2 linked regions of the Macaca mulatta genome follow. The protein of the gene in region 1 purifies or fractionates together with the protein of each later gene. This does not show direct contact. Links are inferred from orthologs where the notes say so. Each region holds a gene or a part of one and is shown in the gene's direction. Other genes may lie near its edges.

Region 1 (6,532 bases):
AACAGACATTTATTCTCTCCAGTTCAGGAGGCTGGAAGCCCAAAATCAAGGTGTTATCTGGGCTGGTTCCTTCAAAGGGCTCTGAGGGGACTCTGGCCCATGCCTCTCTCCTAGTTTCTAGTGACTGCTGGCAACACTTGGTCTTCCTGGGCTTGTAGATGCATCATTCCAATCTCCACTTCCATCTTCACATGGCATTCACAGGGCCATCTTCTCATAAGAACAGCAGTCATGTTGGATTAGTCCCTGCCCCAGTCCAGCGTGTCCTCATTTTAATTAGTTACATCTACAATGGCCTTATTTGGAAAAATAAGGTACTGGGGATTAGGACTTCAACAAATTTGTTTTGAGGGATGCAATTCAATCATAACATCTCAGTAAGGTGAATAAGCCCTACAGTTGAGGAAATTATTTCCTCCTGATTTTGCAGAAAAAGTTGATGTAATTTCTTGTTAGATTCGTAAGTTGATGTAATTTGTTGTTAGATTCGTAAGTTCCCCAGAAACTGCCAAGGTACCTAGACTTCCTATGAGAAAATTTCTTTTCTTTTTCTTTTCTTTTTTTTTTTTTTGAGACAAGGTCTGGCTCTGTCCCCCAGGCCGGAGTGTGGTGACACGATCTCCACTCACTGCAACCTCTACCTCGCGGGCTCAGGTGATTCTCCCACCTCAGCCTCTTCAGTAGTTGGGATAACAGGCATGCTCCACCACACCCGGCTAATTTTTTAGTAGAGACGGGGTTTCGCCATGTTGCCCAGGATGGTCTGGAACTCGAGAGCTCAAGGGATCAGCCCGTCTCGGCCTCCCAAAGTGCTGGAATTACAGACTCGAGCCACTGCTCCCAACCAGCACATTTTATTAATACTTATGATTCCCCCACATCCCCACTGCCTTCCAGACACAAAACAATCAATCCATTGCTGCCTCATAAAAACACAAACTCATCACCTTTCCCTCCCTCCTGGAATTCCCCGTTTTTCACAAAACTGGCTCCCCATCTTCCAGAAAGAATCCGTTTCTTTCCACTCTCCTTACATCTCCCAGGTTCAATTCCCTACGGTTGGCCGGGCGCAGTGGCTCACGCCTGTAATCCCAGCACTTTGGGAGGCCGACGTGGGCGGATCACCTGAGGTCAGGAGGTCAAGACCAAACTGGCCAACATGGTGAAACCCGTCTCTACCAAAAATACAAAAATTAGCCGGGCGTGGTGGCGCGCGCCTGTAATCCCAGCTACTCGGGAGGCTGAGGCACGAGAATCGCTTGAAATCGGGAGGCGGAGGTTGCAGCGAGATCGCACCACTGCACTCCAGCCTGGGCGACAGAGCAAGACTGTCCAAAAAAAAAAAAAAAAAAGAAAGAAAAAAATCCTTACGGTTGCCTCTCCCCTGGGAAGAGGAGAGGCAACTTCTCTTTGCTGCCAGGCTCTTCACCTCCAATCCAGCCTCACATTCGGTATACAGTATATGGCCAATTTTCTAGAAACACATCTCCAGTCTGACTCTGCAAATCATAAACCTCGGGGACTTCAGGCATTTTCCTCCCTGGTGGAGTATTCAACTGCTCCACCCAGCATTCAAGGACAAACTCAATTCGGCGCCACATTCATCTCCCTTTATCCCTTCTAAGTGGAATACCGCTCCAGCGCCAACGCAATCTCCTCCTCCCTCGCCCTTCCCTAATCCCTTGCCTGCCCTGTTTCCCTGTTGAGCTCCTGAAACACTTCGCATCTCTCCCCGTTATTCCAGTCTATCTGGTGAAAAGGTTATTTGAGGACCTTGTCTACGCTGCCCCCACCAGATCCCGCTCCCGGCGCCACAGGCTGGGCCCCAACAGGAGCTCCTCAATCTAAGTGTCTACGAGAAACCCAGGGAGTCTCCACGAAGGAGGGACTTTGCCCACTAGAGACTAACACTGGCCTCCGAATTGCCTTCCTGGAGATTCGGCCTAGCGGCTCTCAGGAGTCGGGAGGGGCAAGAACGTCTCCCCGGTGCAGTGGAAGAAGACTGCCGGCCAGCCCGGGACTCGGAATCCGGGGCCAGGGCCTCGGCAGGCGCCCGCTCGGAAGCCGGCAGCGCAGACGCAGACAACCCACTGCTCAGCGGGACACATCTCCGGCCTTGCGCCGGAACGCCGCTTGGACAACAACCTTTCCGCCGAGTGCAGGCCGAGCGCTTTTGGGCGCAGCACGCAGGAACCGGAAGTCAATGGAGGAAGACCAGACCTACTGACTCAATTTGGAGATGAGCGGCCCTACCCTCTTCATGGCGGGAGGTAGGGTGCTTGGCACACTGGGGTAGTTTCCTGTCTGTCACTAGCCTCTGACCCTAGAGGCTAATGGAATAGGGCTGGAGGTATTCTGGAGGAACCTGGAGTGTTTCCTTCCTCATGTCCCTCATGTCCCTTGTTCAGGCCCCTCTCTTGGAGCCCCAGCCTAGTTGACGGGGCGGTTTTCGGAACATTTGTGCTTCCCTGGCCTCAGGTTCCACAGGTGGCTCCTCAGAGTGGGCGGATGGTTCAGATTCTCACAGCCGCTTGCTTACCTCTGGCCGCATTACTTTCCTGTGGCTGCGATGTTAGAGTGACTTCCCACTGGTTTTACAAAGTTATGCATTGTATGGTGTTTCTCATACTTGCAAAAACGTCATGGTAGAAATCTTGAAAAGTGTACGGAAGAAAATAAAACTGCCCTTAAATCTACCACTTAGCTGAAACATTTCTTTTTTTTTTTTTTTTTTTTTTTTTTTTTTTTTTTTTTTGAGACGGAGTCTCACGCTGTTGCCCAGGCTGGAGTGCAGTGGCGCGATCTCGGCTCACTGCAAGCTCCGCCTCCTGGGTTCACGCCATTCTCCTGCCTCAGCCTCCTGAGTAGCTAGGACTACAGGCGCCCGCCACCGCGCCCGGCTAATTTTTTGTATTTTTAGTAGAGACGGGGTTTCACTGTGGTCTCGATCTCCTGACCTTGTGATCCGCCCGCCTCGGCCTCCCAAAGTGCTGGGATTACAGGCTTGAGCCACCGCGCCCGGCGAAACATTTCTTATAAACGTATAAAATTTAATTTTATTCAGTTCCACCAGATGAGATACTAAAATGTGAAAATGGAAGTGAAGAGAAACCTTTTTTTTTTTTTTTTTTTTGAAACGAGTTACACTCATGTTGCCCAAACTGGAATGCAATGGTGTGATCTGGGCTCACCGCAACCTCCGCCTTCCGGGTTAAAGCGATTCTCCTGCCTCAGCCTCCTGAAGGTAGCTGGGATTACAGGCATACGCCACCACGCCCGGCTAATTTTGTATGTTTAGTAGAGTCAGGGTTTCTCCATATTGGTCAGGCTGGTCTCGAACTCCCGACCTCAGGTGATCCTCCCACCTCGGCTCCAAAAGTGCCAGGATTATAGGCGTGAGCCACTACGCCCGGCCTAAGACAAACCTTAACAGGAAATATTAGTTACAAAAAGATTCCTCTAAATTAAAAATATCAAAAACGTTAAGCAGTTGGAATAATTATTTCAACTACCTTCTTCCTAATGGGTGTAAAATACAGTTTTCTAGGTAGTAAAACTTTGGACTGACCCATAAAAATCGGAAGACATCTCTTGAAACAACAAAAGCTGTATTTAAAACTCTATGTAATATAGTTTAAAAACTAATCCTCTTTTAAAGATGATTCTCCAGGACAATTTAATATTGTCCTCTACTAGTTCTTAAATTCCGGGAAAGTATTTGTGACTTTGCAAAGGATCTAGTCAAGCTTGCAACTAACACTAAAGGAAGTAGGACATCCAACTTACATTTTGCTACATTTTCCTTTTAGAGAGGTGGAGATGCTTTCTGGCCCCGTCGAGGTCATCCCTGTTCCGGGTCTTACATAATTCCTGCTGTCGGAAAAAATCCACTACACCTAAGAAAATTACTCCCAATGTTACATTTTGTGATGAAAATGCAAAGGAGCCTGAAAATGCACTTGACAAGCTCTTCTCTTCAGAACAGCAGGCTTCCATCTTGCATGTGTTGAATACAGCATCTACTAAAGAACTTGAAGCTTTCAGATTGCTTCGTGGAAGAAGGTCCATCAATATCGTAAAGCACAGAGAAAACTTTGGGCGATTTCAGAATTTAGAGAGTTTAATGAATGTGCCCTTGTTTAAGTATAAAAGTACAGTTCAAGTTTGTAACTCCATACTTTGTCCAAAGACTGGAGGGGAAAAAAGAAAGTTACTGGAAAACCGGTTCCTGAGAAAGCTCCTCAAACCAGACATAGAAAGAGAAAGACTTAAGGTATATTCTTCATGTCTGCTATACTGCCTAATATTTGAGAACCTACTCTGGAAAGCAGTCTTCTGGGCATTGGGTTGGGAAGTGGCTAAGACAAGGTTCTTCAGGTTTAGTTGGCAAGTATATGGTCACTACCAAATAATGAGATGTACAGATAGTAAATTGGCAGTTGAGAGGAGAGAAAACAATGGGCTGTGACTGTTGTGGAAAGTTTACTGGAAAAACTCAATTTAGATCTTAAAGGAGAGATCCTTTGGCTGGGAGAGGAGGGGATTCTAGGTAGAAAGAACAGTTAGTGTTGAGAAGCAGGTCTAGGCAAGGCTTATTTAAGAGGAGTGTCATTGGAGATACTAGGCTGTGTCTAAGGGTGATGTTGGGATTAATGAGAAATTAAGGAGCAAAGATGGGTTATGGCCTTTCTAAAAGCACTTCTTTTTCCATTATCTTAAAAAAATAAGTACTACAAATATTTGACACAGTTTTTTTTTTGTTTTTTTTTTTTTTTGAGACGGAGTCTTGCGCTGTCACTAGGCTGGAGTACAGTGGCACGATCTTGGCTCACGACAACCTCCACCTCCCAGGAACAAGCGATTCTCCTGCCTCAGCCTCCTGAGTAGCTGGGACTACAGGCACACGCCCCCACACCCAGCTAATTTTTGTATTTTTAGTAGAGACGGGGTTTCACCACGTTGGCCAGGATGGTCTCGATCTGTTGACCTCGTGATTCACCCACCTCGGGCTCCCAAAGTGCTGGGATTACAGGTGTGAGCCACTACGCCTGGACACAGCATTCAAATATTAAACTTTAGAGGAACTCATGTCCTGTGTAACATTGCTTGATAATCATTATCTCATAAAAATCATAAGCACCATTTTTTTCTAGACCAGTGGCTCCCAGGTTTTTGAGGAATATGGGTACTTTTGAAAACCTGATGAAAGCTGTGGACCCTTTTCCTGTAGAAAAAGATATAGCACATATACACAGAATACTGCAGTTTCAGAGGACTGGCAGATTCTGTTAAGTCCGCTCATGGACTCCAGGTAGAACTGCTGCAATTGATCTGGAACATATTTCAACCAAACTTTTCAGGGAGGATTCTTATCCAAATTCATGGCCAAAACTATTTATATCCAGATTATAGTGCAGTTGCATCTTATTTAGGGGGCTGGATTCTAAAGTCAGTTTTTATGGAGACATAAGTCATGCAGTAAAATCCTTTAAGAGAAAATCGATTGCCCACAAAGTATTGTGTGTAGTCTGGTTTAGTAATGCTTACGCACACTAAAGCTTGAGAGTCACTGAGCTAAAGAAAAGAACCAATAGGAGGTCTGTATTTTGGGCATCTATACTATTTTGTCTTTAAGACATTTATCCAGTTCTTAGCAATGAAAGGGAGATGGGAATAGAACTAATTGTTCCTGTTTATTTGCCTCTGTATCTATAGAACATATTAGTTTGTTAATATAACTAAGTGAGCCATGTTGGGGAAAGGTAATAGCATTGTACTTCATTGTCAGCCCATACTTGATAGGAAGCAAAATCTAGATATTCAATTACTTATATATCTCCTTGTAGAAGCCCTATAGGCAACCCAAACTTAATACATTAAAAACAAACCAAAACAAAACAAAAAAATTTCTTCCCACCTTCCCTAGGGTCATCTTCATCATTAATGATGCCATTCAGTCACTGATATAAAACTGGAATTCTTAGACTCCTCATTAAACCTATGTATTAATTCTGTTCCCACTATCTCTGTTTCTTTTCCTTCTGTCATTGTCTTCAATTCTTAATACTTTCTCATGTTATAACAGGTACCTAACACAGATCCCTACCTTTAGTGCCCTCCAGCCCATCTTTTACACCATGAGTGATTTTTCTGAAATGTAAATCTTATGTTATTCCTTAACATTCTGTTTTTTTAGTGGCCCCTGTAGCACTCAGGATAAAGCAGGTTACTTACGTTTAGACACCTGCCTAGTCCTCTGCCCTTTTCCTATTCAGTCTTTATTGTACTGCCAGAGTTTGAGATGTCAAACAGCCTATCTTTCCTGGGTGAAATATCTGGGTGAAATAACTTCCCGTGCACCATCTCATTCTCCTAGTTCTCCAGCAAACCTTCCCTGATCACTTCTCTCTACAATAGTTTTATGGTGGCATTTCTTATAATGTACAGTTACGTTTGTTTCCTAGTATCTAGTGCAGACCCTGGCTACACTTGAGTTTGAATGCCTACTTTGGGCTAGGTGTTGAGATGAGTA
Region 2 (6,702 bases), on another chromosome or scaffold:
TTTTTTTTTTTGAGACAGAGTCTCACTCGGTCGCCCAGGCTGGAGTGCAGTGGCACCATCTCGGCTCACTGCAAGCTCCGCCTCCCAGGTTCACGCCATTCTCCTGCCAAGTAGCTGGGGCTACAGGTGCCCACCACCACGCCCGGCTAATTATTTTGAATTTTTAGTAGAGACGGGGTTTCACTGTGTTAGCCAGGATGGTCTCAATCTGCTGACCTCGTGATCCTCCCACCTCGGCCTCCCAAAGTGCTGGGATCACACCGCGCCTGGCCCTATGTTTTCTTTTTGAAGCTTTATAGTTTCCACTTTTCCATTTAGTATTAAGAGAAATTTTGAATTAATCTTTTGCTTATGGTGTAAGGTAGGGGCAAGGGCAACTTTTTGTCTTACATTCTTGATCCAGTTGTTCCAATAACGTTTGTTGAAAAGAATTTTCTTTCTTCATTGAATTGCAATGGTATATCATGCTGTATTTCTAAAATTTTAAATTTAATTCCTCAGTTGCACTAGCCACATTTCACGTACTCAAGAGCTACATGTGGCTTCTGGCTACTGTATCAGCCAGCACAGATATAAAATATTTCCAAGTTTTATGGGACAGCACATAGATCTAGACCTTAGGGAATAGTGGCTAATAGATATTTTCAATTGTGTGACAGGTAACCTAAGGCAAATAACGCAGTAAGAGGAGATATAAGGAAGGTAAAAATCAGTCACTGCCTATATGAGGTACCTAGAGTAGTCAAATTCATAGAGACAAAGAGTAGAATGGCAGTTGCCAGAAGTGGGGGACTAGAGAGTTATTGTTTAATGGGTACAGAGCTTCAGTTTTGTGATAGTTGCAAAACCGTGTGAATATATTTAATGCTAAAGAACTATACACTGAAAAATTTTAAATGGTTAAATTTAGTGTTATGTGTATTTTACCAACATTCTAAGAAGTTTTTTAAAATGGCCATTCCTGTGCTGGTCATGTGACTCATGCCTGTAATTGCAGCAACTTAGAGGCTCAGGCAGGAAGAGTGCCAGACTAGGCTGGCAGGATAGTGAGACCCCATCTATAATTTTTTTTAAAACATTAACTGGGTATGGTGGCATGCATCTACAGTCCTAGCTACTTGGGAGGCTGAAGCCGAAGTATTGCTTGAGCCCTGGAGTTCGAGGCTGCAGTGAGCTATTATGGTGCCACTGCACTCCAACCTGGGTGACAGGGTGAGACCCCATCTCAAAAAAAAAAAAAAAAGAAAAGAAAAGAAAAGAAAAAAGGCTTTTTTCCCTAGCTGGTTGTTCACTGCAAGTGAGAAAACAATCATTGTTACTAATAATGACTGACTTAATTCCCTCTGGTGTATCTGAGGGATGTCTAACATCTCTTTTTATTTACAGAGGAGATATTGGAGCCCAGAGGCTGACTTAATTTAATGTGTCTACCCTAGAGGATTTCCAGTGGACTTCAGCTGATAACAGAAAAACAATTTGAAAGTTTTTCTCTTGTAATGTGTTATCCATACATGCATATAATACTGATGATTTTCTTTATTGGGTTATGGTAATATAAACTAGCAGCAGGAGCAGTCACTGGTTTTGTAATAAAAGTTATCTGAAAAAGTCAATCTGTTACCAGTGGAGGGTGTCCAGGTTCTTGGCGTTTTGGACAAAGAATTGGAAGAAACACATAAACAAAGCAAGGAAAGAATGAAACAACAAAATCAGAGATGTACTGAAAATGAAAGTACACTCCAGTGTGGGCGCAGGCCCAGCACAGGGCTCAAGGGCCCTGTTACAGAATTCCTGGAGGTTTAAATACCCTCTAGAGGATTCACTGGTTACTTGGTGTATACCCTATGTAAACGAAGAGAATGAATTAAAGTTACAAACTCATTTACTCGGCATACACCCTATGGAGAGGATATTTCTTGTTATAGCTAAAGTGTGAATCGGCCTTATGTTCCCTGCCTCCAGACCCTATTTTCCTGCCTCAAATCTCTAATACTTGATTTTGATGATTTAACTGTTGATCAATGCAAATATAAAAGACTTTTGTAAAGCATAGGCTATACTGTATGTTAATTCAAGGAATGTCAGGGCATGTACTAATGCTGAATTCTGAGAATCACGTGCTTTTGTACAGAACAAAGTCTGTTTCTTGAAATATTTTGAGTTAAATACTCCCTAAAACTCCTTAATAAAGGCAATTACAGAATCTGTTAATTGATATGTGGAATGGCAGTGAAAGAGGCTGTATTAGACGACTTGAAAACACTCATATTTGGAGCTTAATGAAAATATTCCTGCTCCCCAGAGATGAAATGTTAGTGAGAGTAGCAAATAATCTATTTTTATATGCCCGATTTGCATATTTGAGGCCATCTATTAACACCGTTCTTTAGGACCTCAACCTAGTCGTCTAAGACATCCTTATTAAACAAGGCCAATACGTACCATTTAACATTGAAAATAGTTAATGCCCTTCAAAATCTTTCAAAAGAATAAAAATTAAAAACTAAGTTCTTTGTAAAATTTTGCGGTTTAAAATAATTTTTAAAATTTTAAAAATTTTTTGGTTTCAAATTAGTGGGTGCCTCATTTATCATAAATTATAAAAGAGAATCTAACAATTATTGGCTACATTCTAGGCACGGGGTAACGCTTTATTGTTCTTCTAACCAAAAAAATATATGTATCTAAGTATCCTATGTAACGTATCATTCAATCACACAAAACCCTATGAAATACTGGCAGGGCCCGGTGGCTCACGCCTGTAATCCCAGCACTTTGAGAGGCAGAGGCAGGAGGATAATTTGAGCCCTCAGGAGTTCAAGACCAGCCTGGACAACAATAGTGAGACATCGTCACTTCACCATCATATCCAGAATTAATTTCTACTGTTAGGGCAGTCAGCGAAAGGAAAGCTCGCGATATTACACAAACTACTACTCCCAACATGCAAAGCGGTTTCTTTCCCTCTGTCCCCGCCCGGCCGTCCGAGAGCCCCAGCAGGCCTCGGGGCGCGAAAGGCAACCTGGAAGCGGTAGTTCTCCTGGGCGCCTAGCGGGATCGCCAGCGCGGCAGTGGGGCCTTCCGCGGCTCCAAGCCAGCGGGTCCTGTGAGGGCGAGCGGAGGCGGAGAAAGGGCGCGGGAGTGAGAGAGGGTGAGTCAGCCACTGTCTACGCAATAAAGGGAGGCCTCACCGCGGGCTAGGGCTGAATTCAGAAGTGCGGCCCGTGCCGCAGTCTGTTCCAGGACGCGGCTTGTCTTAGCGTCTGCGAGGGAAGGTTGAGGAGGAGCCAGAGCCGGGTCCGGCAGCCTTTCTCGCTATCAGCGCCCGTCGCCATCTCCACCATGCAGTCCCGGGAAGACGCCCCGCGCTCTCGCCGCCTCGCCAGCCCCCGCGGTGGGAGGCGGCCCAAGAGGATTTCCAAGCCCTCGGTTTCGGCCTTTTTCACGGGTCCAGAGGAATTAAAGGACACGGCCCATTCTGCAGCCCTGCTGGCACAGCTCAAGTCTTTCTACGACGCGCGGCTGCTGTGTGATGTGACCATCGAGGTGGTGACGCCTGGCAGCGGGCCTGGCACGGGTCGCCTCTTTTCCTGCAATCGCAACGTGCTAGCAGCTGCGTGTCCCTACTTCAAGAGCATGTTCACAGGTGGCATGTACGAGAGCCAGCAGGCCAGCGTGACCATGCACGATGTGGACGCCGAGTCCTTCGAGGTGTTGGTCGACTACTGCTACACGGGTCGTGTGTCTCTCAGCGAGGCCAATGTGCAGCGCCTGTACGCAGCCTCCGACATGCTGCAACTGGAGTATGTGCGGGAAGCCTGTGCCTCCTTCTTAGCCCGACGTCTTGACCTGACCAACTGCACCGCCATCCTCAAGTTTGCAGACGCCTTCGACCATCACAAGCTTCGATCTCAGGCCCAGTCCTATATAGCTCAGAACTTCAAGCAGCTCAGCCGAATGGGTTCAATTCGGGAAGAGACTCTAGCAGATCTGACCCTGGCCCAGCTGCTGGCTGTCCTGCGCTTGGATAGTCTGGACATAGAGAGTGAGCGGACTGTATGCCATGTAGCTGTGCAGTGGCTGGAGGCTGCTCCCAAGGAGCGGGGTCCCAGTGCTGCGGAAGTCTTCAAGTGCGTGCGCTGGATGCACTTCACTGAAGAAGATCAGGACTACTTAGAAGGGCTGCTGACCAAGCCCATTGTGAAGAAGTACTGCCTGGACGTTATTGAAGGGGCCCTGCAGATGCGCTATGGTGACCTGTTGTACAAGTCTCTGGTGCCAGTGCCAAACAGCAGCAGCAGCAGCAGTAGCAGCAGCAACTCTCTTGTATCTGCAGCAGAAAATCCACCCCAGAGACTGGGTATGTGTGCCAAGGAGATGGTGATCTTCTTTGGACACCCCAGAGATCCCTTTCTCTGCTATGACCCTTACTCAGGGGACATTTACACAATGCCATCACCTTTGACCAGCTTTGCTCACACTAAGACTGTTACCTCCTCAGCTGTCTGTGTCTCCCCAGACCATGACATCTATCTAGCTGCCCAGCCAAGGAAAGACCTCTGGGTGTATAAACCAGCTCAGAATAGTTGGCAGCAACTTGCAGATCGCTTGCTGTGTCGTGAGGGCATGGATGTGGCATATCTCAATGGCTACATCTACATTTTGGGGGGGCGAGACCCTATTACTGGAGTTAAGTTGAAGGAAGTGGAATGCTACAGTGTTCAGAGAAACCAGTGGGCATTGGTGGCTCCTGTCCCTCATTCCTTCTATTCCTTTGAACTCATAGTGGTTCAGAACTATCTTTATGCTGTCAACAGTAAGCGCATGCTCTGCTATGATCCTAGCCACAATATGTGGCTGAACTGTGCTTCTCTTAAACGCAGTGACTTTCAGGAAGCATGTGTTTTCAATGATGAAATCTATTGTATCTGTGACATCCCAGTCATGAAGGTCTACAACCCAGCTAGGGGAGAATGGAGGCGGATTAGTAATATTCCTTTGGATTCAGAGACCCACAACTACCAGATTGTCAATCATGACCGAAAGTTGCTTCTCATCACTTCTACAACCCCACAATGGAAAAAGAACCGAGTAACAGTGTATGAGTATGATACTAGGGAAGATCAGTGGATTAATATAGGTACTATGTTAGGCCTTTTGCAGTTTGACTCTGGCTTTATTTGCCTTTGTGCCCGTGTTTATCCTTCCTGCCTTGAACCTGGTCAGAGTTTTATTACTGAGGAAGATGATGCACGGAGTGAGTCTAGTACTGAATGGGACTTAGATGGATTCAGTGAGCTGGACTCTGAGTCAGGAAGTTCAAGTTCTTTTTCAGATGATGAAGTCTGGGTGCAAGTAGCACCTCAGCGAAATGCACAGGATCAGCAGGGTTCTTTGTAAATAGATTTTGAGACACTAAGATGTTTCTACTGCTACGGAATGTATTTTAAACACATATCCTTTCTTTTTCTTGAAAAAAAAAAAGTTGACCAGGACCACAGATTTGGTTTAGAAAGGGTAATATTTTGAAATACTACAAGGTTTAAACAGTCCACAAAATCGACCTGTTTAATAATATACCTTCCTGAAAGTCCAAAATTAAAATATGGAAGCAAGAACTATGTAATTGACTGGGATGCTTGGTAGGTTTTTTTCATTGTTCAAATATTCATTGCACAGTGGATTGTTTTGATTAGTTAGTATGCTTTTTTTTTTTTAATTAATTCAGTCTTCTGTTAATTTTTAAGTTTTGGTTAGTGCCACAAGGAATTTAACTTTTTAATCTGTACAATAGAAAACTGGACTAGGAATTGTTGGTGGAGTTTTGAAGGATGTATACTTTCCTTCAAAATAAAGTGGTAGATTTTCAAAATTTTACACTAGTCAGTTCTTTATATTCTAAGTTAAATATAGTTTGTAAAATTATTTTGGTTTTCTACAAAGGAAAAAAAATTGCATATATATATATATATATATATATAAAAAGGTTACTGAATAATGATTTCATTTTGATAAATGTGCAGAATGGCCTCACAAGCTCACAGAAAGTAAAAAATAAGTAAATAAAAATAAGGATTCCACTGTTTTAAAATAAATCTGTTTTTATTTTGGAATATAAAATGTGTATTTGGTATATGTGACCAATTTTCTTTCCCAAAAAACACCCATTCTAGTAATGTCATGAATTAAACACCCTTCTAAACCAAAAAAAAAGGTAACTTGCTTTTTACGTTTGTATTTTTAATCTATGCCCAATACATGCTTTATTGACGCAGAAGAACAATTCCTAGACATATAATTGGGTAATGCAAATTTTTATCCACTGGTCATGACTTGTCTTAAAATGTTTATTTGCCTCCCTAAAATATTTTGGCTGTATAGGTTTGGTGTTTGTCCTAGAGGATTCTCCATCAGAAAGTGATTTATTCTTTACTGTTTTGTGAGGTAATATGGTTTAGAACATATATATAAGCTAAAAATGGTATTTTATTCAGATCAGTAGTTATCATGTCTATCAGCTATAAAAAAAAATCAAGTGCCAGCCAAGAACTTTAAAACTTTAAGCTGTGTATTATAAAACTGTTTTGTGTAGCATTGGAATATTGTCCATTTTGTAAGTCACTGTGAATGTTCTTATCAGCTTGAAGGTATTTTTGTATTAAAAGTTGACATTTAAGAACCTAAGTGAATAACGGGGTTTGG

The links.
Region 2: the proteins of TEFM (region 1) and KBTBD7 purify together in Homo sapiens (co-immunoprecipitation; 5 studies listed by BioGRID and IntAct, counting the BioPlex papers as one, with this or other methods). This does not show direct contact. The link is inferred for Macaca mulatta from reciprocal best matches to the Homo sapiens genes TEFM and KBTBD7.

What each region holds. Positions count from the first base shown.
Region 1 is NC_133421.1:41,585,581-41,592,112, reverse strand, and holds the start of TEFM (transcription elongation factor, mitochondrial), read left to right. Parts: upstream 1-2,197; 5' UTR 2,198-2,239; coding exon 2,240-2,270; intron 2,271-3,809; coding exon 3,810-4,273; intron 4,274-6,532. UniProt on the Homo sapiens protein: Transcription elongation factor which increases mitochondrial RNA polymerase processivity. Regulates transcription of the mitochondrial genome, including genes important for the oxidative phosphorylation machinery.
Region 2 is NC_133422.1:20,613,281-20,619,982, reverse strand, and holds the start of KBTBD7 (kelch repeat and BTB domain-containing protein 7), read left to right. Parts: upstream 1-3,033; 5' UTR 3,034-3,342; coding exon 3,343-5,400; 3' UTR 5,401-6,702. UniProt on the Homo sapiens protein: As part of the CUL3(KBTBD6/7) E3 ubiquitin ligase complex functions as a substrate adapter for the RAC1 guanine exchange factor (GEF) TIAM1, mediating its 'Lys-48' ubiquitination and proteasomal degradation.